3 linked regions of the Macaca mulatta genome follow. The protein of the gene in region 2 purifies or fractionates together with the protein of the main gene of each other region. This does not show direct contact. Links are inferred from orthologs where the notes say so. Each region holds a gene or a part of one and is shown on either strand. Other genes may lie near its edges.

Region 1 (10,175 bases), on a different chromosome or scaffold from region 2:
ATCTCAGCTCACTGCAAGCTCCACCTCCCGGGTTCACGCCATTCTCCTGCCTCAGCCTCCTGAGTAGCTGGGACTACAGGTGCCTGCTACCTCACCCAGCTGATTTTTTCTATTTTTAGTAGAGACAGGGTTTCACTGCATTAGCCAGAGTGGTCTCGATCTCCTGACCTCATGATCCGCCCGCCTCAGCCTCCCAAAGTGCTGGGATTACAGGCATGAGCCACCATGCCCGGCCTGACACAGCTTTTAAAGTTTACAGAGCAGTTCCACATATAATGTGGAATCATGAATAATCCAATCTGGCTACAAATTCTAACACAGAATATAGAATAGGCTTATTAAATAGTCAATTTGTGGTTCACAACTCTGAAACACCTGTTATAAAAAACAGCAGCACTGATTATTAAACGAAACTGGAAGCAGAATATATCCAGATTTTTCTCATTTGGAAAAGTAAGCAAAAAAAAAAAAAAAAGGATGTTTCATCTTTATGGTCTGCATTTATAAAAGGATGTTGCATCTACAAAATTGGAAAGAGAAAGTCCTAATGTTTGCAATCAAAATTTAATTCTTCCTGATTATGATAACCCCTGCTATTGTCATTTACTTTCCTTCACTGTGTTTCCTGTTAACAGTAACTGCCAACATCTGCTTTTTTCCTCCCTTTGCCCACCTCACAGATTAACCCATTTTATGGATCTAAGAACCTCCAAATCATCATCACCACCACCACCACTCATACCAACAAAATATTAACAACAAAGTAGAAATGAAAAGCTAATTCTGTTGGGTATTTGTTTTGTGTCTTATTTGTATTATCCCATTTAATCCTCACACTAATCCTAGGAATTTTTATCCCTATTTTACAGAAGTTGAAACTAAGTAACAATTACTCCTGGTGAAATCTGCAAATTTGCTTCATCTTTGAGCATACGGCATGCACAAAGCACAGGGTGGAGAAAGCAGAAGCCTTACCATCTTTAGGTGTCAGGGGGTAAAACTTGGGAGACAGCAGAGCAACTGGAAACTTAGAGGAGGAACTCCAGAAGCAACAGAACCACAGAAAGGATGAACCCCAAAATCTGAGAATTAACTGCCCAAATCCCTGAATGACCACTATATTACAAAGGCACAGGGTCAACCTCCAGGACTGAGAAAGCAGCAAAGCTGAAAACACTGAGCAGACGTTAGCTGCTGTACATCACAAGAAACAGAGTTTATAGTTTGAGTAGAGGCAAGTTAACTGCCTACTAAAACAAGAAAACCTATACTTTTTAGAATAAAGCAGTTTCTAGAAACAAAACATTCAGGAGTTACTACTACGTATTATCTACACATCTAGGTTTCAATGAAAAAATTACTAGATATGAAAAGAAACAGGAAAGTGTGATTCATATTTAGGGGAAAAAAGAGCAATCAATAGAAGCTGAACCCAAGTGGGCCTAAGTGTTCGATTTGGCAAAGACTTCAAAGCAGCTATTATAAATATGTCCAAATAATTTTTAAAAAATATAATATAAACAAACAAGGAATCTCAATAGAGAAAAGGAAATTTGCTCTAAAAAAGAACCAGGCCGGGTGCAGTGGCTCACACCTGTAATCCCAGCACTTTCACTTTGGGAGGCCGAGGCGGGCGGATCACGAGGTCAAGAGATCGAGACCATCCTGGCCAACATGGTGAAATCCCGTCTCTACTAAAAATACAAAAATTAGCTGGGCATGGTGGCACGTGCCTGTAGTCCCAGCTACTCAGGTGGCTGAGGCAGAAGAATCGCTTGAACCCGGGAGTCGGCGGTTGCAGTGAGCCCAGATTGCGCCACTACACTCCAGTCTGGCACCAGAGCGAGACTCTGTCTCAAAAAAAAAAAAAAAAGAAAAAGAAAAAAAAAAAATTCTAAAGCTGAAGTGTACAATAAGCAAAATTTACTAGCCCGGCTCAATAGCAGAGGTGAGATGGCAAAAGAAAAAAATTTATAACCTTGAATACAGAACAACACAAATTATCTAATTTAGGTCAAGCACTGTGGTTCACACCTGTAATCTCAGCACTTTGGGAGGCTGAGGCAGGCAGCTGCTTGAGCTCAAGAGTTTGAGACCAGCCTGGGCAAAATGGCAAAACCCTGTCTCTACAAAAAATACAAATATTAGCCGGGCATTGGTGGGGAGCAACTGTAGTCCCAGCTACTCTGGAGGCTGAAGTGGGAGGATCGCTTGAGCCCGGGAGGCAGGTTTCAGTGAGCCAAGATCATCGCACCACTGCACCACTCCAGCTGGGGCGTCAGGGCAAGACCGTATCTCAAAAAAAAAAAAAAAAGAAAGGAAAGAAAAGAAATTATCTAATGCAAAGATTAGAGAGAAACAAGGTTGGGGAAAAAAAAACAACACACAGCTTCAGAGGCAGAGATAAGGACAACATCAAGCAGTCCAACACTTACATTAAAGGTAAATGAACTAAACACTTAAAAGTCAGAGACCGAAGCTGGGTGAGGTGGCTCACGCCTGTAATCCCAGCACTTTGGGAGGTCGAGGCAGGTGGATCACTTGAGGTTGGGAGTTCGAGACCAGCCTGACCAACATGGAGAAACCCCGTCTCACTGGGCATGGTGGTTCACGCTTGTAATCTCATGACTTTGGGAGGCTGAGGTGGGCGGATCACGAGGTCAGAAGTTCGAGACCAGTCTGGCCAACATGGTGAAACCCTGTCTCTACTAAAAATACAAAAATTAGCTGGGTGAGGTGGCGCATGCCTGTAATCCCAGCTACCCAGGAGGCTGAGGCAGGAGAACTGCTTGAACCGGGACCCGGGAGGCGGAGGTTGCGGTGAGCCGAGATCATGCCATTGCACTCCAGCCTGGGCAACAAGAGTGAAACTCCATCTCAAAAAAAAAAGTCAGAGACAGAGACTGGGTTAGATAAAAATCAAGATCCAACAATATGCTGTGTAGGAGCTCCACTTTAAATACAAAGACAGACTGACAGAGGATTACTAGAGTCAAAGGAGGTCATTTCATAATAAAAGAATAAATCAGGCAGGGAGATATAACAATTAGAAATGTATATGCACCAGTAGTAACAGAGCTCCAAAATACATGAAGCAAACACTGACAGAACTAAAAGAGGAAAGAGACAAATTGGTAAGCATAGATGGAGATTTCAATACTCCTTTCAGTAATGATAGAAGGGGTAAAAAAAAATCAGTAACACTATATAAGACTTAAATATTATCAATCGACTTCACCTAATTCTCATTTACAAAATATTCCATTCAACAAAAGAATATACATTTTTTCAAGCACACATGGGACACTCATCAAGAAAGACCACATATTAGAATAAAACAAATCTCAATAAATTTAAAAGGACTGAAACCATAAGCATGTTCTCTGAAAAACATAGACTTAAGTAAGGGCTTTCACTTACAAAATCATCACAAGGGTAAGTGATAGGACTTTCTTTTTAGTGATAAAGTCTACACACCCTTCTCCTTATAGTATCTGCAGAGCCTAAAAGGATAGTGAGGAAACATTCTATGAAAAAAAAATCCTTCCAGCTTTTATACCTCAGGAAATAGGATGTAGTTTTGGTTCTTTGGTTCAGTATGCCTGACTTGAGGTCATTACCGAGGCTGGAACTTTCACGCCACATGTGGCTCTGAAATATGCAGCCTATAGTTCTTTAAAGACTTCCAATTTCTTATCAGATTATTATATATTACACCCTGCTGGGTCTATAGTAATAAATATGGCTTTTACAAATAGGACTATAATTTTAACTTGAGTCAAATGAGTATGCCTTAAGCCTAAGATGAAAAGAATAAAAAATACAGCAGTTTGCCTGAATCTGCCTGTCTCTACAGAAATCACTGATGCCTCCAGGGGCTCTGAATCCGCAGGCGGAGGGTATGGTGCATGTGCATCCACAGAGATGTACTTACTGGGGTAAGGAGCCTAGAAAAAGATGTGGAAGTGCCATGATATAGGAAAGATGACCATCTAGAGCAGGGGTATTCAATCTTTTGGCTTCCCTGGACCACAACGGAAGAATTGTTTTGGACCACACATAAAATATACTAACACTAAAGACAGCAATCACCTTTAAAAACAAAAAATTGCAAAAAACTCTCACAATGTTTTAAGAAAGTTTATGAATTTGCATTGGGTGGCAATCAAAGCCATCGTGGCTACCTGCAGGCTGTGGGGTGGACAAGCTTGATACAGAGCATGAACTGGCAAACTACGGCCCCTGGACCCAATCTGTCCCGCAGCCCACAAACAAGGTCTGTGGAATACGGCCACGTTCATTCGTTTACGTATTATCGATGACTGCTTTTGTACTATAGAGTTGCAAGTTGTGACAGATCCTTACCTTGAAAATGACATTAAAAAAAAAAAGTTGTGACAGAGACCATACGGACTGCAAAGCTTAAAATATTACTGCCTGGCCGTTACCAAAAGGTTTGCCAACCCCTGATCTGGAGCAAAGATAGGCTGCTTAAACTTGTATTAGGAAACACATATTGAGAAAGATCATTTACATATTTATTTAAAAACTGTCAAAAAATCTCCTTGAGGCCGGGCGTGGTGGCTCACGCCTGTAATTCCAGCACTTTGGGAGGCCAAGGCGGGTGAATCACGAGGTCAGGAGTTCAAGACCAGCCTGGCCAAGATGGTTAAACCCCATCTCTATGAAAAATACAAAAATTAGCTGGGCATGGTGGCAGGTGCCTGTAATCTCAACTACTCGGGAGGCTGAGGCAGAGAATTGCTTGAACCTGGGAGGCGGAGGTTGCAGTGAGCTGAGGTCACACCACTGCACTGCAGCCTGGGTGACAGAGCGAGATTCTTAAAAAAAAAAAAAAAGGCCGGGCGCGGTGGCTCAAGCCTGTAATCCCAGCACTTTGGGAGGCCGAGGCGGGTGGATCACGAGGTCAGGAGATCAAGACCATCCTGGCTAACATGGTGAAACCCCGTCTCTACTAAAAATACAAAAAACTAGCCGGGCGTGGTGGCGGGCGCCTGTAGTCCCAGCTACTCGGAGGCTGAGGCAGGAGAATGGCGTGAACCTGGGAGGCGGAGCTTGCAGTGAGCCGAGATCGCGCCACTGCACTCCAGCCTGGGTGACACAGCGCGAGACTCCGTCTCAAAAAAAAAAAAAAAAAAAAGAATATTTTCCTGCATAGCCAAAATCAAAATATAACACCCAACAAAATTAACTATAACCTCCTAACATTTAAAAAAAAAAAAAAAAAAAAAACTTGAAGTCTTGGTATTTGAAAAAATAAAAAATAATAAAAATTACCAAAAAGACAAAACAAAACTGCTATACGAAAATTTGTAAATTTAAAACAAATTAAAGCATGATTTGACAAAGGCCCATACTTGAGAAAAACCCGTTTCTCACCTGATATTTTGGTGCATTGTTGCACTGTGGAAAACTGCCATTGACTTCTCCATTATGTAGTAGATTATTGTCCACCAGATTCCAGCCCCAGCTCTGGTCATCACTGCCCAGCAATGCCACATAACCTTGGCACTGCATGGGGGCCCGTTTCGTGGCAATTCCAATCACTGCCACAGTGCCCAGAGGGCCCTCCCACCACACCTCCCATGCATGGCGGCCCTCACTGAAACCAATCTTGGTCCTTGCACCATCAGTGCTCTGAGCAATGGGGTTTCGATGTAAAGTAAAGCCATTCTTCTTAATGTAGACATTCCTGGAGCAGTCATTAGTGCTGAAGGCATGTTGAAAAGCACGTATCTAAAAAGATGAAAAATAGACCAAATAAATAACGTTATTTTTCTTAAATATTAAAAACTTCAGGATGTATGTTTTTAAATAATGAACTTATATATTTTAAAAAACACAAGTATTTCCAAATAATGGCTAAAGTTTCAGGATGGGATACTAACAGAATAAATAACATTAAAAGTAACTGCCAAACGTTTCATCACTGACCAAAATTTTAAATTGTAGTATTTCCTCAAACAGACTTCTTAAAACATCAAAAGATACCAAAAAAAAAAAAAAAAAAAAAAACCTTATATCTTAGAGATAATACTGAAACGTTTATGGATAAAATAATGATATCTGGGGGAATTGCTTTGAAATATCCAGAGATAGAGTGGGAAAGTGTGCAATATAAATATGAAACTAGACTGGCCATAAATTAATCATTGGCAAAGCTTGGTGATACGTATAAGGAAGTTCATCAAACTATTTTCTCTACTTTTGTTTATATTTGATATTTTTATATCAAAAAGTTGAGACATAGTTTTCATATGGGCAATGCTGTCATCAAAAATAATTATATTTTACATAAAATAGAAACTTTAATCATAGCAACTCTAAAGTTTATGAAAAATTTTAGTAAACACAAACTACTTTAGATCCTCAGCCTGCTTGCCAGGTATGACTTACACAATAAACAAAAAATCACCAATCTCATTTTACCAAATCAAATAATCCCCTAGATAGCATCTAGATTCAAGTAACTAGAATTTATAAAGAGAAGCTATCAATAAGACAACTTAGTTGACTCTTCAGCAAAAACAAAAGTTTACACTTCCAAAATAAAGAGGGTATGAAAATAGCTCTTTCATACAAACAATAACAATTTCTCATGAACAATTTTAAACTTTTAGTTTGTGTATTTTAAATTTTTTTTAGACAAGGTCGCTGTCACCCAGACTGGGAGTGCAGTGGTACAATCGTAGCACACTGCAGCCTTGAACTCCTGGGCTCGAGTGATCTCCCATCTCAGCCTCCCAAGTAGCTGGGGTTACGGGTTCGAGTCACTACGCCTGCCTGGTTTGTATGTTTTTTAAAAATCCCTTCTTTACTTTAGCCAAACTACCCAAAAGCAGTGAAAGGCTGGGACCTATGCTTTGGTGAACCTGAGAAATCAACTCCAGAGTCACAGAAGCTCAGCATTCAGGAAGACCCTTAAAGGCCACCTAGTCCTTCTCAAGGATCTCAACGCGGGTGAGTGCGAGAGGCCCAAAGAGAGGCCAAGTATCCAGCTCCCTCACCACCTGTTCATTTGCCACTCGCTGGCACTCTACTGTTTCGCTGTACTGCAGGGCACAGATTTTAAAAAGGACTGTTTCCAATATCCCCTGCATTCATAAGGAGGCTACAAAACTGAAGCATTCCCAATGTTTTTCCTATCTGCTCATATTATAAAATACTTGAAGGCACTTATAAGACCAAAACATAAGATTCAGTGAAGGGGCTGGGCGCGGTGGCTCACCCCTGCAATCCCAGCACTTTGGGAAGGCAAGGTGGGCAGATCGCTTGAACTTGGAGTTCAAGACCAGCCTGGGCAATGCGGCGAAACTCCAACTCCAGTAAAAATACAAAAAATTAGCTGGGCATGGTGGTGCACGCTTGTAATCCCAGCTACTTGGGAGGCTGAGGCAGAAGCAATGCTTGAGCCCAGGAGGCAGAGGATGCAGTGAGCTGAAATTGCACCACTGCACTCCAGCCTGGGTGACAGAGCAAGACCCTGTCTCAAAAAAAAAAAAAAAAAAAAGAAAGAAAAGGAGATAAAGGAGATTAAATGGGGGAAGGAACATGTCCCCAAAATAGCAAATACTATCTAAATAACTCAAGAGAGTAATATCAATAATTCACCATAAAATAATTAATATTTCCCTATGCCTATTCCCCAATTCTTATAAATTCCAATTGCACACTGACACTATTGACAGCCTCTTCCTCAAACTTTTTTTTTTTTTTTTTTTTTTTGAGACAGAGTCTCGCTCTGTCACCTAGTCTGGAGTGCAGTGGCTCAATCTCAGCTCACTGCAACCTCTGCCTCCTGGGTTCAAGCGATTCTCCTGTCTCAGCCTCCCCCAAGTAAATGGGATTACAGACGTGGACCACCACACCTGGCTAATTTTTGAATTTTTAGTAGAGACAGGGTTTCTCCATGTTGGCCAGGGTGGTCTCAAACTCCTGGCCTCAGGTAAACCGCCTGCCTCAGCCTCCCCAAGTGCTGGGATTACAGGCGTGAGTCACCACACCCAGCCCTCTCTTCCTCGAACTTCTATGACATCTTCCTATTTCCCTGGACTGATCCTGTATCACTTCCTTTTTTGGTAACCACCCCTCCTCCACCATCACCAAATTCTCCAAACTCGGTTCTCAACTCTCTATCTGAATTATTTCCAGACCTGTCTTTCTAAAACAGCACCTTTACTACATCTCTTCCCAGTTCTATAACCTTTGGTAGTTCCATACTTGGTACCATTACCAACTGCAAATTCTTCTGTCTGGCTTTCAAAGCCCTCCAAATCTGATTCTTCCTATTTCCCTTTCTACCTTGATGATGATGTTCTTGCTTACAGTATTATAAGTGTTTTCTTCTCCCACACATTCTCTAAGACCCCCTCTCTATTAAGCTACTTTTTTTTTTTGAGACGGAGTCTCTCGCTTTGTCGCCCAAGCTGGAGTGCAGTGGCGCGATCTCGGCTCACTGCAAGCTCCGCCTCCCGGGTTCACACCATTCTCCTGCCTCAGCCTCCAGAGTAGCTGGGACTACAGGTGCCCACCACCACGCCCGGTTAATTTTTCCTATTTTTAGTAGAGATGGGGTTTCCCTGTGTCAGCCAGGATAGTCTCGATCTCCTGACCTCGTGATTCACCCACCTTGGCCTCCCAAAGTGCTGGGATTACAGGCATGAGCCACGGAGCCCGGCCTACTAAGCTATTCTTAACCAGGGCCACCCAATTCCCTTTGTTTCTCCCTCTGCTGAGTGCTTACCCACGACTTTCTGTACTGCGTCACAATTTAGTAGCTCTTATTTTCTAACACATCTTTAACCACTAATTCTAGTAAAAAATAACTTGCAAAAAAATCTAATCTAATCTAAATTGATCAGACCTCTATGGGAAACAGAGGACAGTAGAACATGTCAAGCAACACCACGATAATGAAATCAGCAAAATCGAGCTGAGAGTAAACAACCTGGTTTCCTCAACAAATAAGATGGGAGGTTGGGGAGATGGTGAGTGAATATGTAGACTAAAACAGCCTTAAGAGACACACCAACCTTTGCCATGGGACCCTTATATAGATCTTGATTATATAAAACATAAGTTTAAAATGCAACTTTTTTTTTTTTTTTGAAACGGAGTCTCGCTCTGTCGCCCAGGCTGGAGTGCAGTGGCGGGATCTCAGCTCACTGCAAGCTCAGCCTCCCAGGTTTACGCCATTCTCCTGCCTCAGTCTCCCAAGTAGCTGGGACTACAGGCGCCCGCCACCTTGCCCGGCTAGGTTTTTGTATTTTTTAGTAGAGACGGGGTTTCACCGTGTTCACCAGGATGGTCTCCATCTCCTGACCTCGTGATCCGCCCGTCTCGGCCTCCCAAAGTGCTGGGATTACAGGCTTGAGCCACCGTGCCCAGCCTAAAATGCAACATTTAACATTTATGAGACAACTGGCAATTTGAACACTGAATTTTTGATATTAAGGAATTAATGTAAATTTATATTTAGATGTGATAAGCATACTGTGATTACATTGTCTTTGTTTTTTAGAAACAGATACTGGAAACTTCATACGAAATGGGAAAACAGGCCAGGCATGGTGGCTCACACCTGTAATCCCAGCACTTTGGGAGGCCGAGGCGGGCGGATCACGAGGTCAGGAGATCGAGACCATCCTGGCTAACACGGTGAAACCCCGTTTGTACTAAAAAAAAATACAAAAAACTAGCCGGGCGAGGTGGTGGGTGCCTGTAGTCCCAGCTACTCGGGAGGCTGAGGCAGGAGAATGGCGTGAACCCGGGAGGTGGAGCTTGCAGTGAGCTGAGATCCGACCACTGCACTCCAGCCTGGGCGGCAGAGCGAGACTCTGTCTCAAAAAAAAAAAAAAAAAAAAGAGAGATCGAGACTGTCCTGGCCAACATGGTGAAACCCCGTCTCTACTAAAAATACCAAAATCAGCTGGACGTAGTGGCAGGTGCCTGTAGTCCCAGCTACTTGGGAGGCTGAGGCAGGAGAATCGCTTGAACCCAGGAGGTGGAGGTTGCAGTGAGCTGAAATCGCGCCACTGCACTCCAGCCTGGGTGACAGAGCGAGACTCCGTCTTAAAAAAAAAAAAAAAAAAAGGGAAAATAAAGATCAAATTAATAAATTAAAAACAATCCATAGCCTCACAGTCCCATGCACA
Region 2 (10,175 bases):
TTAATTCTTCAAAAAAAAGGTAAATTAAGTACTTCATTTCCTGCATAGTAAATCATTGACATTCCTAACATTTTTCAGTGACTTATAAATTTTCTTTGCTTTGTTTGTGTTGTGACATGTTGTGTAAACAAGATTTGGTATCAGAAGTAGGATCTACAAAACAAACACTAAATACTGGGGTTAGTACTAACGTTTTCACTGAAGATGGACGCAGAAAAGTAGCCAAACACAGTGTCACCCTGAGTCCGTTCTGAGATACATACCGGAAAATTATAGTAATCGGTTCATTCAGGAAACCAGGTGACAATAGGTTAAGCCATAAGTAATATAAGTAACATTTCTTTATCTTCCACTATTAAAAAAAAAACTTGTAAATCTTTATTTAAATGAGCACCAAATTAAAGAAAACCAAACAAATAAACGCAAGTCTAAAATGAAATGTTCAATTTTGATTTGTCAGAGATATGAGCCTTACTAAGTTTTAAGTTAACAGATTTGGACATTAACACATATTAATCTAAATTAATTAATTCAACCTTTGTTTTCAGTTTTAGAGAAATGTAAGCTTGTTGAAAAATTTAGCAGAATATAAACTATTTAAAATAACTGTTGATACTTGCATACCATTTGAAATGCTTTGTTTTTGCTTGTGTTCTCTGCTAAATTTTTTTTCCATTGAATCTGTGCTGCTTCTTTGCCAATGTTTTCCACTGTAGAATCTCCATCTTGCAACCTTGCTTCTCGTGAGCGCATTTACAAAAATTATGGTGTAGCTGGGCCTGCCTCTGCTCTCTCATCTCTGTCTCACAAACTGAAGGGTGGGTATACATGCATTCATGGATGGGCCATTCTTAATGAACATAGGGAGTGTCATTAAAGATGTTTCCGTTCATCTCAGTCATGTTCATGTCATTCCATTTTTTTAATTAAAGTTTATCATTTTATTTAAATTTGTATATGTTTGAGTAATTTATGATGCTCCTATTCAGTATTATAATGTAGATTGTCATAATAGCTATGCATGTTTATTACATCTATAGGTTAAACATTACTCTTATTTAATTTTAAAACTTTATGAGATCTTTAAAACAGGTATATAGAAAGAAAGAATTACCTAATGGGGGGAATTTTTAAAACCATTTTTATCAGAAAAAGATGATATATGTGCAAGGCATAAAGCACATTTTTTAGTCTTAAACTTGTTATGTAATATAAAAATCACTTTACTATTTTAGTTTTTTGTGAGAAACACTGATAATGAACTTAAAGTTTTTAAGTTTAAATTAGTTATTAGGACCCGTGTGTTTGTTTATATCTATATGTCAACCTACCTGTCCTGTCTAGCATAAATTTTTCTAATATTGTTTTCCTAGTAACTAAGTTTTAATATTTTAAGCTTAGAAATGTTTAAGCTGTTGACAATTGACAAAATTTCAGACAATTTAAAAATATGATTTTGGTCTTTTAAAACCCTACAGATGCCTACTTAAATATTTTGTCTTAAAGTATTATTTAATTAAATTTAAATCTTGTAAATATTTTAAAATCTTGTATTTAAAGAAAATTTTATCAAAAAGAACTTTTACAGCAATGCCTAACATATTGTGTGAGTTTCTCAACTACTGATTTTCTTTTTTTCTTAGAAATAGATAAAATAGGTATATATTTCTCATTATACAATTGACGGTATAAACATATAAATAGGAAATATAAAAATAGAGTAAATAGTATTGTACAACCTGTGCTATATAGTATACAGTATTGTGTGTAATAGCATATAGTATCATGTAACCGATATATACTATATATCATGCCATGTGATATATGCATGTAGTATTACGATATAGTACGATCCTGATAATTTATGATTTTGGCATGAAAAAATATGTGGGTAAGTGAATGAATACTTACCATTTAACATGTTTAGTAACATTTAATTTGCTTGCCCTAAGTTTCTATCCTGTCATTATTTCTTCAAGATTCCTTTAAAGTTAGAAAAATGTTTGCCTATTATCACTTAAATTTAAAAATACAGTCATTAAATAAATTAGGAGATGAATGTGAAAGTTTTATGTATAGTCTGAAGATTTTTAGCAAACTATTTGTTTATATTTGTTGATATTTTGAGCAGCCACAACATAATAATTTTAGTAATAATATGCTGCAAAACATTTGAAACACAAATGAAGAAGATAAACATAAATTAGCACTTGGGCTTACCCCACTTAACAAGCATAGTTTTTTTAATATATAAAATATATTTTGGAAAAATAAATTTTTCAAGAAGATTTAGTTATTGTTTGAGAAATACATCAGAGAAAGAAACGTTTCTGCCATTATTTATGTGCTTAAACTTCAACAGGTATTTAGCTGTCACCACTTACAGATCTTAAGAAAATATTCACCACTATTAGAGATATAATAAGATATACAGATGCCTATTCTTTCTAACACCATGTAATAAACTTTATTGCTCACGTATGACAAGGTGGTGTTCCTGATATTTGGCAGATTCCATTTTTCAGGCAACCACAGAGGTTGTTTTCATGATGAGTAAATACCTACCATCGTAAGTGCATGCATTCCTAGAATAGAGGTATCATCAGCAGGTGTTCACCATTCCTTTGCTTGCAGCTGTTGTGCAGGTCAGCCACTGGGACACATCTGACACAGGGAGTAGGTAATCTTTGTCACAAACCCTTCCCATTTGTTAGAAATCCTACACAAGTTGTCCTTTTTTATAAATTAGAGAGAAAACCTCTTTCAGTTCACAGACGGATTTTTTGGAGTAAGGGATACCAAATATAAAAGACTTACTAATTGTTTGTCTAGATTCCCAATATGTGTGGTTCAGTTTCTGAAATAAATGTAATGATAAAGGTGATAAACATGTCTCCAGCTGTCAGATTAATAACAAAAAACAAATACTCCAAACATCACATACTCAAAATTAATGGCCATGACTACTGATGTTTAATCTATGAAATATAATTTGTTTACCAAGTTTGCCGTATACTGTTACTAGGTCAGTAAGATTAGATGGGCAGCAATTTTTTAAACTACTTTTGAACAGTTTGAGGGTACTTATTTGTAGATCACCTCTGTTTATCTGTGTTCTCCCAAGACAGCATTGATAGTTAGAATTCTAAATTGGGATTTTTTAACCCTTTTTTCAAAATTTAGCCCCATCTGTTAATACTCTATTTATAAAACAGAGCATATAATATGATAAAGGAGGTTCATGATTGAATAATGAAGCTTTGCAAGAAACTAAAAAGCATTATGTTTTAGTTACTTTTTTTCATCCAAAGAACAGGAAAATTTATCCTAAATATTGGCATTTTGCAATTAAACATTTAGTTCATCAGTGTGCCCTATCTAAAGTACTTGCCATACTCTATTATTTCACCATGTAATTACTCAACATGCAAGCATCTAACCCTCACACATCAGTAACTACTGTCACCTCTGTCCTGTGGCCTTGGGAGCCTTAATTCTAAAAAGTAGACTTCTAGAGAAGCTGAATACTTGGGAGTAGCAGAAGAAAAAAAAAATCAAGAAAATTGGAATATATTACTCATTCAACAAATATTTATTGAATACCTACTGTATTCCTGGACTCATTCATAGTATTACATAAGTGAAGAGTAACAGACAAAAATACCTGCCCTTGACAAAAATGGGGGCAGATTCTCCAGCACTACTGTCCTGAGCCATAGAGAACTAGAGCGTGACTATACACACTTAACACATGCACACAAGCATAAAAAACATTTTTCTACATAATCTGAATTTGTTCACTTCCTTTTTTCTTTAAAAAAAAAAAAAAAAACCTGCCATTAGAACCAGTTAACAAATGCACCTTAATTTCCTAGGAACTCTCTTTGAAAAAATATGAATACTTCCAGATAGGTTTATGGATTTTCAGTTTCTTATACCACTTGAAACCCCTCAGTCAGATTGCTTTTCTCCTAACAACTAACTGGTATCACTTGCACTAAGAGTAGAAGTTTTTATTTTAAGGAGGAAAGGTGATGTTGAAGTTTGTACCGTTTACTTGGGTCACAGACAGCCTGGCTCTAATGCCTCAAAGAAAAGCATAAAATAGAATGAAGGAGAGACACTAAATGAAGCCAGGATGCTAAAAACAATTAATGTCCATGCAGAAATATCTAATGGTTTGCTTTAGAAAAGGGAGGTAATTCTTCTTTTCATCCTGTTTTTCTGTCATTCTCCTGACTCCTTGTTTTGAGGGTCCACAGTTCAGACTTTTACTACTCATTCTGAGGATCCACCATTTCTGTGGTTTCCAAGGGGACACAGCCTCTGAGTTCTAAGCAGCTAAGCTTACTGAACTTTTGGAGTGTAACCTGTTTATAAGTAATTAAATAATAGCTTTAGGGCATTCATGTGCTCATTATAAACTAGTCTAATCTGATCATAAAACAGAGTGCCTCTTTGGCAACTCTTTATTAGCCTAATCGTATTTATGCATACACTTAAAAATTATAATTGTGTCTATGCATAAATTCATTTCTCTAATTCAACAAAACCCATACCATTGCCCTAAGGATGCGACATATCACTCTGCTGGAAATTTAGCGCTACTTCACATTTAAAATACAAGTTTTAACATTAAATAATTTCTTATTCCCCAAAAAATTAATTTCTCTTTCTAGTCTCTCACTGAATTTAAATTCTAACTAGTTATTGCACTAGGGCAGAGGTTGAGATATCACTGATAGTTCACACTGAGTTTGTTCAGCCTGTTTTGCATCCATGAAAATAGTTTTTGGTGGTAATGGTTGTGTAATGATGTGTAGAAATTTTATTGGAAATATTTCCCCCAGAATTCTTCAAGTGTTTTAGTATGTGTGACAAACAATAAGAATTTCGTAGCAATGTTTTTTATTTCAGTGTTTAGTGGCTAAATCATTACTAAGTTATAATTTTATTAATAAGTTTCACTATAAAATGGACCATACAGGTGATCGAGGAAACATCTCAACATCTTCTAGACCAGCTTCTACATCAGGAAAATCAGAGCTGTCCTCTAAACACAGCAGATCACTTAAACCTGATGGACATATGAGCCGGACTACTGCTGATCAGAAGAAGCCAAGGGGCACAGACAGTTTATCAGCTAGTGAATCCCTCATCTTAAAATCTGATGCTGCAAAGTTGAGGTCAGATTCCCATAGTAGGTCATTGTCCCCTAACCATAACACCTTGCAGACATTGAAATCTGATGGGAGGATGCCTTCTAGCTCCAGAGCTGAATCCCCAGGACCAGGTTCTCGGTTGTCATCTCCTAAGCCAAAGACTCTCCCAGCCAACAGGTCTAGCCCATCAGGTGCTAGTTCTCCACGCTCCTCCTCACCACATGATAAAAATCTACCTCAAAAAAGTACTGCTCCTGTTAAGACAAAACTTGATCCTCCTCGGGAACGTTCCAAATCAGACTCTTACACACTTGATCCAGATACCCTCCGCAAGAAGAAAATGCCCCTCACAGAACCTTTGAGGGGACGGTCAACATCACCAAAACCAAAATCAGTACCAAAGGATTCTACAGATTCCCCAGGATCTGAAAATAGAGCTCCCTCTCCCCATGTGGTACAGGAAAACCTCCACAGTGAGGTGGTCGAAGTCTGCACCTCAAGTACTTTAAAAACAAATAGTCTAACAGACAGCACCTGCGACGACAGCAGTGAATTTAAGAGTGTGGATGAAGGTTCAAATAAAGTTCATTTTAGCATTGGAAAAGCACCACTGAAAGATGAACAGGAAATGAGAGCATCCCCCAAAATAAGTCGAAAATGTGCTAATAGACACACCAGGCCCAAAAAAGAAAAATCGAGTTTTCTTTTCAAAGGAGATGGATCCAAGCCTTTAGAGCCAGCCAAGCAAGCCATGTCTCCTTCTGTGGCCGAATGTGCCAGAGCTGTGTTTGCTTCCTTCCTCTGGCATGAAGGCATAGTACATGATGCAATGGCTTGTTCTTCTTTCCTAAAGTTTCATCCTGAACTTTCCAAAGAACATGCTCCTATAAGGAGTAGTTTAAATAGCCAACAGCCTACAGAGGAAAAAGAAACCAAGTTAAAAAATAGACATTCGTTGGAAATATCATCTGCACTGAATATGTTTAATATTGCACCCCATGGACCAGATATATCTAAGATGGGTAGCATCAACAAAAACAAGGTATTATCTATGCTTAAGGAACCACCTCTGCATGAAAAATGCGAGGATGGGAAAACTGAGACCACTTTTGAAATGTCCATGCATCACACAATGAAGTCTAAATCTCCTCTTCCCTTAACTTTACAACATTTAGTGGCTTTTTGGGAAGACATCTCTTTGGCTACTATCAAAGCTGCTTCCCAGAATATGATTTTTCCAAGTCCTGGTTCCTGTGCAGTTCTTAAAAAGAAAGAGTGTGAGAAAGAGAATAAGAAGGCCAAAAAGGAAAAAAAGAAAAAAGAAAAGGCAGAAGTGAGGCCCAGGGGTAATTTGTTTGGAGAGATGGCCCAGCTGGCGGTAGGAGGACCAGAGAAAGATACCATCTGTGAACTGTGTGGGGAGTCACATCCGTACCCAGTGACCTATCACATGAGACAAGCTCACCCAGGTAAATGATACTGGCGAATGTATGTATAAGTACTTCTTTCTTTACTGAACCGGATCACTTCATTTGAGCTGTTATATGAATTTTGGCAAAGGATAGGGAATTTATAGTATCTTAAAGTACATTATCAGTACAGGGTTTTGCAAAAAACAGATAAAGAAATTCTAATATTATGATGACAAGGTCATTTAGTGCTATTTCACTTTCATGTAGCATGTTTTAAAAAAATTTATGTGTTACCCAAAGGGTGTGCCATTAATGTGTCTGTCTCACACAACAGAATCAGTGGCGTGCCCATACACATGGGGCATCTCCTTTGATTTTACTATTTTCCTGTTCAGAATTGCAAATTAAATTAGATTATATTGATTTCGATAGGCTTTTTCCTATGGAAGTGATACTGTTTTATCAGAAGACTGCATTTTCAGTAAATGTAATGATTTCTGTAACATTGACTAATATTCCAAATTCACCTAATACAAATTTGTATTTGTAATTTTTTTCTTTGTCTACATATTATACTTCAAATGTTTTATGTGACTTCTGAAAATATATCATTGTTATAGAACTTTTTTACTTGTTTTGTCTAATTTTATTGACATAATTAAGTATATCTAAATGTACCTATAGTCTACCTCTCTTTTAATCTGCCTGAATAGAAACTAAGTATCTCTCATATTTGGGGTATCGTTTAATTAATTGCTTTTTGATCAAGTAAGCTATTTTTCTGATATAGTTAATAGCCTGAAAAATCAGATATCTATTTCAGTATTTTGCTTTCTTTGAGAAGGTAAATCTGTCGTTAATCTATGAGTAATAAGGATCAAACTATTAAGGACACTTGGAGTGTTAAATATTTATTTTTGGTATTGTTTCAAGGTTGTGGCCGATATGCTGGTGGACAAGGTTACAATAGCATTGGGCATTTTTGTGGAGGATGGGCTGGTAACTGTGGTGATGGTGGCATAGGAGGAAGCACTTGGTATCTGGTATGTGATCGCTGTAGAGAAAAATACCTCCGTGAAAAACAAGCTGCTGCAAGGGAGAAGGTATTTTATTCCATTCGGAGCTATAGTTTTAATGATATGGATACACTTTATAAAAATAGCTTTTTATGATCTTATTACATCAGATAATTCCGCATAGTTGATATAAAAGATCAGCTTTTACAATGGAAATCATATACAAATTTAATATTTGTACTACGTCAGCTGCTTTTAATTTTAAAAATTAACTATATATTGGAATAACACTAGATAACCTCTGCTACCTGTTTTTTTGGCTCCTTTGTTTTCCTATTCCATAGCTACTCTCTCTTTTCCTTATTCACTCTAGTGGCTAACCTAACTAAAAAATTTCACTGAATACACACAGATGATTTACTTTTTAAAAAAATGAATTATATTTAGATTTAACTAGTTAGGTGTTAAATTTTTCTGAAGAAAGAAAGGAAGTATAGTTTGTGTTTAATACAGAATAGTCAGCCCAGGATGAATATGAAGTGAATGTTGTTTTTTTATAATCTTAGTATTTTAAAATAGCTTTACAAGTGTTTAATAATTTTTATTGGAAACTCAAAATACTTAGCTTAAGGAACGAAATATTTTAATATAAGTCAGAAAAGATTACTTTGATTTTTTTTCTTTGCCAGGTCAAACAATCTAGGAGAAAACCAATGCAAGTCAAGACCCCTCGTGCCTTGCCCACCATGGAAGCTCACCAGGTGATTAAAGCCAATGCACTCTTCCTGCTCTCCCTGAGCAGTGCAGCCGAACCGAGCATTCTGTGTTACCATCCTGCAAAGCCATTCCAATCTCAGTTGCCCAGCGTGAAAGAAGGCATTTCTGAGGATCTTCCTGTGAAAATGCCTTGTCTCTACCTTCAGACATTAGCTAGGTAATAAAATTTTGTTGTTGTTTTTTAATCACCTTTGGATTAACAGTGATTGTTTATTGATATCTAGGGTAGTTCAGTATTTGACCTATACTTTATTAGATACTATGTACTGTAAAGAAACTTCCAGGCATTTATTTTTTTGAGTTGCCTTGACTAACATAATGACTTTATGGTAGTAGGTATTTAAAAAACTATAAAAATGCTTCATCAATTTACATTGTTACTAATACAAAACATGTCTTAGAAAATAAGACTATAGCTATCTTTCACTCTTTGGTAGGCTGACTTCAGTCTGTTAGTGTGAAATGCTGAAGTAGAAAAAAGTTGGTGTTTTCTTAGCAGTCTTTTATGTCATAAATTATTCATTGTTAGCATTTAAATGAATACTAACTGGGCACCTGCCAGCCTTGTGCTAGGCCCTGAATGAATGAATGAATGAATATAACAAAATCCTGGCTTCTATGTACTCATACTGTGATGTCAAGTCAGACATGTCAGTGAAACATTTGAAATGCCATGTGAGGAGTGCTACAATAGAAGTATGTATGTAGGATGCTGTTACAGCATAAAAGATGGAGAGTATCTGAATCTTCCCAAGGAAATCAGAAAAGGCTTCCCAGAGGGTCTGACCCTTTAGTGGAGTCTTAAAGGATAAATAGAAACCTGTCAGGCAAGTGATGGGAAGAAAGCAACGCCTGGAAGAATAACCCAGGTGAGTAAAGACACAAATGAAATCTCATTACACATTTGAGGAATCACAGGTTGTTAAAGGACTGACTACTGGAGGAAATGTGTGAAAGCCCGTTCAGAATGATTGGTTCACCCAAGTAACGTCGGGCCCTGTAGCCCAGGTTAAGATTGCATTTTATCCCATGAGCAGAGGAAACAGTGGAAAAATTTTAAACAGAGAAATACATGAATTGGTTTGCAATTAAAAGATCACTGTAGAATGTGGAAGCTAATGTGGAGACTAGATAAAAGTGCATTACTAGAGATAGAGAGAAACCTGTTAGTATTCTATTTTCATATATTGGACCTGAATGGTGCAGCCTATACTTTCACACATCATGCACTGACACTCCAAAAGAGCCTTTCATATACCAAAATCAGATTTTTTTCATCAGCTGACAAATGAAGATGTCTAGATATTGCCTGCTGACATGGCTTGCCAACCAACAGTTCCATTTTGGAAATTGTCCTCTTTGTGTGGCAGAGTTGTGTGATTTTTTTAAATTTTGTGCTTACTATTACAATAAAATGAATAAGCAACAAAAATGAAAACGTGAGACTAAATACATTTGAGACGGAGGTGGAAATCATCAGGTATGCCAAATACAGTAGATCTTTAGTGTGAAGCATACCACTCAGTGGACTTAGGTTAGCAACTATTTATTCATTTTGAAAAGGAAAGAATCAAATTGTAAAACGTGAAAAATGCTCACACAGCATTATTACAGACTTTTTTTCTTTTTAGCTCTCTGGGGAATGGGCACCCCCTCCACCCTGAACCACAGAAAATTTCATATATCTAATATTTTTCAAATATGATCTTATGTATGTTCCTACCCAAAAAAGTAACTGCCTGTATTTCAGTGGTCTGTGCAAGAAATAATAAGCACGAACCAAGGCAGTGGTGATAGGGAATGAGAAG
Region 3 (10,175 bases), on a different chromosome or scaffold from region 2:
AGCAATTTGTAACTGAAACATTAACTTTCAAGAGGCCTGTCTTCCAAGACACTTGGTTAGCTACCAGACAAATGTCTTATTTTCTGGCTGTGTGAACGACAGCATGCCTTGGTGAGGATGCAGATAGTGCAACTCCATACATACTGCTGATGGACAAATGAGCACTAAGAGATCTATTACTCCACCACTATGAACCACTCAAAGCTGAATGGTCACTATTCCAAAACTCTGAGAAGAGACAAAACCAATGAGTAAAAAGCTGCAATGTTGCCTATCAGATGCCGCCCCCCCTCCCCCACCCCAGAAAAAAACGCTTTCTAAGGGCTATAACAAATAGAAAAAGTTAATCATGAGGCATTGCTGTACCTCATCTAATATTAGTGATTTTTCACTTGTTTCTTTCTCTATTTTAGTAGGCACTATTATTCCTCTCCATTCCAGTTAAGCACGTGACTAAGAGGAGGCCAAATAAATTTTCTATCAAGGATGCTTTTGTTTTTTTCAATAAGGTAGCCCTTCAAAATTGGACTACAAATTCAAAATGCAATGGCCAATCAAAAAACATAATGAGTATGTTGCTTCTATGATATAGCCAAGATCTTTCTTCTCACTGTTCTTAAAGGTTAAGTAGAGTCAACTGAACATGCAGGAAGTGATTAAACAATTTTATATTATATATTAAAAACACAGTTCAAAACATTTCCTCAAGAGTAGACTAGTTCTGTAAGTCAGGGTGAAAATATGCATAAACTTTTCTGAAGTAATCATTCCGTATGAGGTTGACTCTTTTTGTAATGCTAAAGCTCCATATTTCCGTTGAATAATGATCTCATTTTTAATGAACAAAACTAAACGTAACTAATACTTACCTTGCAATGTTTGTAAACACTGTCCTGTTTTGATATCCCAGATTTTAACTGTAGAATCTGCATTCCCAGAGACAAGAATATTGTCTTTGAGTTCCATTCCACTTGTTAACGACTGGTGCCCTGTTAACGTGTGAATGCAATTCCCTGTCTCCACATCCCAAACGCGAATTGATGTATCAAGAGATCCACTCACCACATGGATACCATCAAACTACAAAAGACACAGTTTATTAGAATAGAAGTACGGATGCTCTTCATATTACTGACCTTAATCCTAGTAGGAAAGGGGGAAGAGGATGGGAAATGGGTAATGCCAGGAACAAAATGAGGTACTAAGGTAAAGTGGCAATGAGGATAAAGTGCACGCCAAGCCATTCTACAATGTATGTTCTCACACCTTTCTATCAGAAAGGTTCATCTTTATGCCAAGCTGCTTCAAACTAGATGCAGAAGCAACTTAAAATGAAAACAAAGCACCTAAAATGAACAATATATTAATTTTCAAATCATCTGGCCCCACCTAGCTATATATCATGGGTGACTGAGAGAATTGCTATTTGAGTTTTCCTTCCCACTAGGAAGCTAAGACTAATGACACAGCTTATGATAAACGGAGTGCTTATCAGCACTTAAGGCATGAAAAGGGCTAGAGATAACTTTCGTGATGTTCAAAAGCAAGTTCCATTAAAAACCGTGTGTAAAATAAAATTTCATTTATAAGAACCTAATGCTAATTAGGAAATGTGCCAAAAGATAACTGTATCTGGAATCAGAAGAGGTGGCATTTTGTTATCAAAAGCAAACTACATACCACCTCTTCTCCAGCTTCCCAGCTACACCAAAAGTCAACAACAATCTATCATTTCTATATAATAATGTGGCTACCTCTTTTCTCAATCAAATGGGGTTATTTAAATTAGAATATTATATTCATTAAGCTTCTGAGAATATCACAAACAGGTGCAGCCAATTTCCCTTCCTCCAAATTCATCACCTTTTCTAATTTAGCAAACATCTTGATCATATTGTCAATATTTCATGACATGGACAATATTCCTTCGACAAAGAAACAAATATCCTAAGAACAGAATTGACAGTACTAAGATTATGTACTAATTTGCTGAACATTAATGGGCAATAACTGATAAATAAACTATATAGGCTGTAGGAAATATTTTTACATTGAAAATGTTGCCTTTCTGGAAACAAAACAAGATTCATATTCTAAACTTCCTATTCATCTAGTCAATGATCTTAAAATATGGCAATGTTTTCAAGGATATGGGCTTGAAATGTAAACCAAAAAAAAAAAAAAATCTGTTTAGTCAACTTTACTTCCTTATGACTACAAATCAGTGGGCCTGGGACAGTAGAGTGCTTTATGCAGAAAGGATCTATTTCCACTTTGAATGGGGATGGAATCACAATTACATGGTCCATCAACTTTCAGCTATCAAAGCAAAGGGTCAGCTTTGGGCCATATTAATCCTCTGCAAAGGAGTTTCTTAAAATCCAGGTTACTCTCCTATGAGACTATTTAACCATTAATTAATATAGCAAACCTTAGAGTCCCAAATTGTCAGGTTACAAGACAAATATTTGTATTTAGAGGAGAAATAGATCACAGAAAATTGAAAGCATCTAAATAATTTTGAAATTTATATAAAAACAGCAGAATAATCTGGTTAATCTTTTTTGGATTGTACTGGAGCAGCAATTTGACAGCGATTATCTGAGTAAAACAACCTTATGATTCATCAGGAGAGCATTTAAGGGAGAGATAAGAGATCTTACCTGTAATGAATAGACTCTATTAGTATGCCCCTGCAACGTGTGTAGACAGGTTTCAGTCTCTGGATCCCACACCTTTACCATAAAATCATATGCTCCACTAACAACCCTCCTGCCATCATATTGAACACAGCGGACTGCTGCAACATGACCCATCAAAACATGTAAACACTGGCCTGTCTCAATATCCCAAACCCTAAGAGTGGCATCTCGGGAACCGCTAACAACTCTGCAGAGGGAAAAACAGAAAAACAAAACAAAACAAAAAAACCCATGTTTAGAATTTTTAATAATATGAGAAAACATGATAGATTTAGTCAAGGTTTTTTAGCTTTCTTTTTCTTACACAGGAACAACTCTTGTCAAAAGAAATCCTATGTAAAACCTTGGTATATAAACATACAATAAGGGAATGGGAAGTTGGGAAGCCTAGAATGCCTCATGCTTGGTTCCCTGACCTGTGGACCTTAGTTCCAGCACCTCGAGGTTCTGTGGGACTGAGTTTGAAAACCACTGTACTGTATTTTTTTTTAAAAGCAGCAGTAGCTGCCTCTAAATATATACAATAAGATTTTGATTTTAGAAATAAAATGTTAATGTGGGCATGTGTATAAAATGTTAATGGGAGAACTCTAGGTGGTAGTAGTTTAAAGAATTTAAATTTTCTTCTTTATGTTCTTTGCCATTTTCCAAAATTTCAATTATGGATGCATATATTCCCTTGTGATTAGGTAAAAAATTCAATAAAGGTTATACAACAAAACAAGTCAGGATTTGGAATTTAAACAGCTGCAGATTTGTGTTTACACTATACATTCCAGTAAAAATTAACCAGTTTTAGACATGTCCTCAAACACAGGCTGCTTATGCTTTTAATGATTAGATTTATAAGTATGCAATAGGCTATAAAAATATTGATATGGATCTTTAAAGATATGTACATTTTTAAAAACAATGGCTATCCCTTAAACATGTGGTTCAACATTAGCGCTACACTCTCCTGAAAACCAGAGCAACATGCAAATACTGTAATCACTTTTGGATTACAAAACAAAGCTGAAAACTCAGGTATCCTTATGTCATTCATTCTGAAGAGATAAAAGAAATATCACAGTTTCCATATTGGAAAAATTAGAAAATTAAAGGGTTGAGATTTAAGTCAGAACACAATGGAACACAATGAAAACATATTACAAATCTGGTGTGAAATCTGCTTAATGTAATGGTTCTTAATATAAGAAGATGCTATAGACAGAATTAAAGGTAAAGACTGCCATTGATTCACTGTAAGGACCTTTCAGAGAGACCTTTTTTGACAAATGAGGCAGAAATCACACTTGTTTAACAGGGGTATGATGAAGATAATAGAAAGATAGGATTTTAATAGGAGGGCTTTACAGGAGGAGATAAAAGTAACAGCAAAGGCACTGAGAAGAAAAAGTCAAGCAATCTAGTTTGGCAGACACCATTTTGAAAACTGGATTGAGGATTTCTTCCTTAATTCGTTAGTCAACAGTAGGCTCACAAAGACTTAAGAACTGGGCAGTGACACTATCATAATTATAAAAGGACTGTATGTCAGCATATAAAATGTAAGATGACCAAGTTAGAAAGTTGTGACACTAGTTCAGAATGAGAGAACAAATTACTCACAGGCCTCAGCTTTTGCCTCGACTTAAGAGATAGGGTGGGTGTAAGGTGGGTAGGTAATTTAAAAAGGCTCAGACGCTTGAAGCCTGAATTTGTCCCACTTGCAGAAGTAAGAATATCAAAAAAAGAGAGAGAAAAAATGATTTCTGCTTGAACATGATGAGTCATCAAAGATACAGAACAATAAAAAGGATTAGAGAGTAGAGAGCTTCAAAGAGGAAGCCGACAACACTAGCAAATGAAAAAGGAAACTTACAGACAATCCCCAATTTTAAGACAAAACACTATGGCTTTCCTAGAATAGAACCATCTGAAGTCTAATAATTAAATGTAATTTAAGAGCTCATTGTCACTATTTCAGTAACTCTATACAGAAAGGGCCCAAATTCACAAATAATAGAGGAAGAAGTCCCAACCACGATAAGATTTTCCCTTACCTTTTTTCATGAAGATGCATACAACGCACTGTGGAAGTATGCCCATATAAGGTGTGTATACATTCTCCAGTCTCTGCATTCCACACTTTGAGAGTCCGATCGGTAGATCCACTAATGATGATGTTGTCTCTCATTTGTGATGACCATACTCCACCTGTATGTCCCACTAATGTTCTCAGACACTGGAAAAACACTTAAGATGATTACTTTTGGGTAGAAAGGAAAAGTGATTTAAATAAAATTTAATAGCTCATTAAAATTTGGAGTAAAGTTATTTATTCGTTTGGCTCTTCAGAAAATATTATTTTACACATCCGTATAAAATGATCCCATCACTATTTATAGTTTTGTTTATTCAAAGCATTATAAATTTATATAAGCACAAGCAATTGAAGAACATGTAGAAAGCAAACATATGATATAAAATATGATATAATAAAAAGGAAACATGATATGAAAGCAATTATGATAGCTCTGGTCTCTTTGATGAAAAAATACTGAAATTGCAACTGGGTTTCTTCCATGGGAATAGATTCAATGAAAGTATGCCAACAGTATTGGGTGTGGCTACATACCACATTTCATCTGAATCTGCCCCAGGGCAGTATTTAGGAGCCAGTGAAGCTACTTCTAGACAAGTAAAGACAGACATTAAGGCCCTGAAATAAATCCCAAACTAATATTACACTATGGAAATATAAAGCTGCTTTAAAAAATTTTAACATCTGACTTGGCGTATTTATAAGATACTTGCCAAGAAGCACCATGGTAAAAGACATTTTAAAAGACATGGATTTTTTTTTGTTTTCAGACTCTCTTCTGTTATTTTTGAGGTGGCAATTACTTAATTCATGAAAATATTCTCTACTGGACAGATACAAATAAATATTTGCTAGAGAATCATTAAGGTATGATATGGTACACGGTCAAGCTGATTGCTTGGGCTACTTTTTTCTTCAAACTTACATTTAAATGCCTAGTCCACTCTCATCTCACAAAGGTTTGAGATAAGTATAAATTAACATGATTTATTAAGTTCTAAACTATAGGTAGGTTATCAACAAAGCAGTTCATAAGGAAAAATAAATACCCCTCAACCATACTTTTGAAAAACATTACAAAGTAATGAGGTATAACTTAGACAGTAAATAAAAGTGGGGAAAAATTGAGCCAAGAAAAATATAAAGCACCCTTGAAAATGTTAAAATATCTGTCACAAACTATGTAAATGAAAAAAAATTAATGAAACCTCTATCATGAGAAACATCATTATCCTCATGCCATTGATTTTCATAAATATGGGGGAAAAAGCTAAGTTACGAGCTCTGATATTTGCTATCCCAATAATTGAGAATCAAGAATGAATTCTGATTTTCTTTTTTCCAGTTGCTACTTGCAATGCTATACACAAAATTGTGACTTTGTGAAGTGTAGGAAGAGTGAACTTACTTTGCCCGTGACTGCTGACCAAACTTTTAGAGTGTTGTCATCAGAACCACTAACTATTCGGTTACCACAAAACTGTAAGCATGTGATCACATGATCATCATGTCCTTTCAGCACCTATAAGATAGATGTACAGATTAGAAATATGTTAATTAAATTATGTTCTTTAAAACACTGGTGAAGAGAAAAATGAAGGCACAAACAGGAACGGTAATTTGTAGTCTATCTCTAGAATTATAATTTATATAAAATATAAAGCATTATTTTTCCTGGCTGACGAATTCAGAATTAAACATTTTATTGTTTCCATAGTCTATTATTTATACTCAAAACATCAACTATTAAAGTTTTACTGCATCAAGACCTCATGAAGATGGTTCGAACACCAATGTATTTGACAATAATCTATTTTATCTGTTCAAACCAGAATATGCCTCTAATTTTTACAACTTTGACACACAAGAACAAAATACGCATCTATTAACCACAAAGAGTAACAATTATTAGCATTCTCAAAACAAAAAAATCTATAACATATACATATTAGTATCACAATGTCTCCCCAAACTGTTTTTTTCCAGTTGTAAAAATATGCTCAATAATTTAAAGTGTTCTTAACATTCTTTATATATTTGAAACGTTTTAATACAGAAAACCAGAATTATGCTTCAATTTATAAAAATAAGACACACGAAAGCCACCAATACCAAAACACAGACACTCCTCAAAAAATCATGTTTGGACTATGTGATCAGAGAAGGCAGCAAATTCTCAGGTAGAATGTGTATGACACAGTACAATTCAACAGGATATTGAGAGATTTTCATTTAAGTAAGATAAAAAGATACTCAATTTAACTTATCTTTTGTTCAAGCACAATTAGTTGTCAGATTAATTAGCAATAAAAGAATACTGTCAGTAATACTTTCAGTTATTTTAAAATATATGGTTTTCTTTCCACAGAAGAGAAGTGTCAAATTATAGTTTGCCAAGAAGTGAAATAGTACACTAGGTACTAACACTGATTAATGGTTTCTGTTACACTGTGCAGAGTTCAGTTACCTTAGGAGATTTGAGTTCTCCTCGCCTCCAGTTAGTATCAATTCTGTGCTGTCTGATGTATGCACTTTTCCATGGACTGTGTATGAAACCTGGTTTTATTACTTTTCTTCTCTTGATGTGCAACGGTTCATCAATCCCTGAAGTGTTAGAGGTCAAGAGTAAATTGCCTTCACCAACAATAACAATTATACATTTTATAAAGTATTCCATCTTTCTCTCTGCTCGAAACCACTGAAATGTAAGACATTGTCCAATTTCTAATACTGTTATCACAGTATATAGCAATAATGTAAAGTTTGCACTTTATATGGCATATTTTTGTATTCACTATTTCATTTCTCAAAATGATTCTAAAAGATGCTGGTGAAGATGTGAGGAAATTGGAATGCTTGTGCAAATGGTGCAGCTGCTGTGGAAAATAGTCTGGTGGTTCCCCAAAACAAACACAGAATTAACATATGATCTAGCAATTCCATTTCTGGATACATAAGCAAAACAATTAAAGGCAGAGCCTTAAACAGTTATCTGTACACCTATGTTCATAGCAGGATGACTCATAATAACTAAAAGGTGCAAGCAATCCAAGGGCCCATCGACAGATGGATAAACAAAATGTAGCATTAGATACATATACACAATGGAATAAAGGAAATTCTGACACATGCTATGACATGGATGAACCTTGAAGACATTACACTAAGTGAAATAAGCTGATTACAAAAGGAAAAATATTGTATGATTTCACTTATATGAGGTAGCTAGAGTAGTCAAACTCATAGAGACAGAAAGTAAAAGGGTGGTTGCCAGAGGCTGTGGAGAGGAATAATGGGGAGTTATAACAGGGGGCATGGAGTTTCATGTGAGGAAGATGAAGTTCTGAACACAGATGATAGTGATAGTTGCAGAACAACGTGAATGTACTTAATGCCACTGAAATGTACATATAAAAATGGTTAAATTGATAAACTACATATATGTTATTACAATTTTTAAAAGATCATTAAAAAAATGATTATATGGGAGAAGGGAAGGCAGAGATTAATCCCACTTTATGTATACAGATACTTAAGAAGGAAGATTTCACTGATTAATCCAAGTCCTACAGAGGTGAAAAGCAGGATGAGAAACCAAGTACCCTGGATCTTTACCTCAAACCTTTATTAACTGGACTAACCATCAATGCTTCCCACTTGACTATAACCACCATGAACGGAATGATCACCTATAGAGTACCTGCATCATGCTCTATGATTCTTTCTAAAAAAAGTTTGCTTCTGAGGCACATAATACTTTTATATTTTTTCAAAAATATTTTTCTGGATGTCTGCTGGGGAAAACAACAATAAAAACAACAAAACAGCTCTCCCAATACAAAGGATAACTATTCCTCTACTAAGGAAAAAAATAGGTTTCAAGAACATAAGCTCCATGACAGAAAGAGAACTTCAGTTCACTGCTATATCCCCCACCTTGAAGAAATGTCTGGCTCATAGGAGGTGTTCAATAAACATTTATGAAAAGAATTAATTAATACTAAATATTTGGATATTTAATTGGAAATGTAATTTTGGGGTTTCCTTTAAATCATCCACATCTTGACTTTTTCATTGTTTATTAATTCTACTAGTGATAGGAAGCAAATCAGATATATTTGCTATTAGTTATATTGCTTGTTAAAGGGGTTAGCTGTAAGATTTGGCTCATTTCAATGTGTAGAATAATCTGTGGATTTTATTATAAGTAGGTGAATATTATTTTTATTTTTTCTACTTGTTTTCAGAATCACTCTGCTTTTCAAAGTATAAACATATTCTCTGTGCAATTTTGAACCTTACCCTCTTCTTTGCATTTCTCTCTCCAGAGAAGGTTGTCTTCAGCCAAAATTCTCCAATAGCGACATGTCTGAGCCGCTTGTAGCAGGTCTTTGGGTTCCAGGAATGAAAGCACATAGAGTGCCAACTAAGAAAAAAATGCATAGTATAATACCCATATTTAAATAAATATATATATTATATAAGTTAATTATTCTCCACAGGATGAGATACTTGATAAATATAATTCTGCACTCTGATTTTTAAAATTATGAAAGGCAGTAACTTCAGTCCTAACAAATATATACCAGATAAAAAACACACACACACCTTATGGTTTTTATGAACTTCACTCTACTCTTTACCTCTTCAGGGACTACTGATTAAAGCTCTCTGTCTCTGCTCTTGCCTTGCTCTGTGAGCCTCAACTTAATAATTCTTTTTTAAAAAAATGTTATTAGTTGTTTAACTTTGTTCTCTATCCTACTACAATGTAAATTCACTGAAGATAGGACCTAAATGCTTGCCTGACAGACAAGAAATAATTTTTATATATTCTGTGTGGCATGACTTCAGATCATTTCTGATTGATATATATCATAATTAACAGTCTTCAAATCAAAGTGTTTATTATCATAATGAACTTTTGAAACACTTACATCCTTGACTGTAAATGACAAAGGGGGACAATTATTAAACCATTCCATAGACATATAAAAGTAATTGAGTTCTAATTACTTTACATTACTTATAAGGATCTTCTTGATGGGCCACACAGAGTTGTATATTTGAGCTAACTCTTTGGTATACCACTGATTAAAAAATTTTGTTTATAATACTTGTAAACTATTAATTTTTTTCAGTGTGTCAGTTCAAATAAAGAGGAAAAATAAAGAGAAAAAAAGGGGAATTATAGCCTCTGTTTATTCAAATAGCCTCACATATCACATAAAATTTTAAATTATGATACAAGGAAAACCATTTAAATAGAGCAATTAAGTTCAGTTTTCACAAGAACTAAATGACAAGAACTAAAACAAATTATCCATTAAAGGGTCAAGGGTCATATAGGGAGTAAAAGCACAATTTTAATTATTTTTGATGCTAAA

The links.
Region 1: the proteins of MYCBP2 (region 2) and FBXO45 purify together in Homo sapiens (affinity purification with western blotting; 7 studies listed by BioGRID and IntAct, with this or other methods). This does not show direct contact. The link is inferred for Macaca mulatta from reciprocal best matches to the Homo sapiens genes MYCBP2 and FBXO45.
Region 3: the proteins of MYCBP2 (region 2) and FBXW7 purify together in Homo sapiens (affinity purification with mass spectrometry; 6 studies listed by BioGRID and IntAct, counting the BioPlex papers as one, with this or other methods). This does not show direct contact. The link is inferred for Macaca mulatta from reciprocal best matches to the Homo sapiens genes MYCBP2 and FBXW7.

The regions. Positions count from the first base shown.
Region 1 is NC_133407.1:2,108,557-2,118,731, reverse strand, and holds part of FBXO45 (F-box/SPRY domain-containing protein 1), read right to left. Parts: intron 5,758-10,175; coding exon 5,401-5,757; intron 1-5,400. UniProt on the Homo sapiens protein: Component of E3 ubiquitin ligase complex consisting of FBXO45, MYCBP2 and SKP1. Functions in substrate recognition but also plays an important role in assembly of the complex.
Region 2 is NC_133422.1:71,889,470-71,899,644, reverse strand, and holds part of MYCBP2 (E3 ubiquitin-protein ligase MYCBP2), read left to right. Parts: intron 1-4,987; coding exon 4,988-6,631; intron 6,632-7,507; coding exon 7,508-7,677; intron 7,678-8,279; coding exon 8,280-8,524; intron 8,525-10,175. UniProt on the Homo sapiens protein: Atypical E3 ubiquitin-protein ligase which specifically mediates ubiquitination of threonine and serine residues on target proteins, instead of ubiquitinating lysine residues.
Region 3 is NC_133410.1:160,923,138-160,933,312, forward strand, and holds part of FBXW7 (F-box/WD repeat-containing protein 7), read right to left. Parts: intron 9,215-10,175; coding exon 9,091-9,214; intron 7,393-9,090; coding exon 7,256-7,392; intron 6,311-7,255; coding exon 6,197-6,310; intron 4,930-6,196; coding exon 4,748-4,929; intron 2,890-4,747; coding exon 2,664-2,889; intron 1,081-2,663; coding exon 870-1,080; intron 1-869. UniProt on the Homo sapiens protein: Substrate recognition component of a SCF (SKP1-CUL1-F-box protein) E3 ubiquitin-protein ligase complex which mediates the ubiquitination and subsequent proteasomal degradation of target proteins.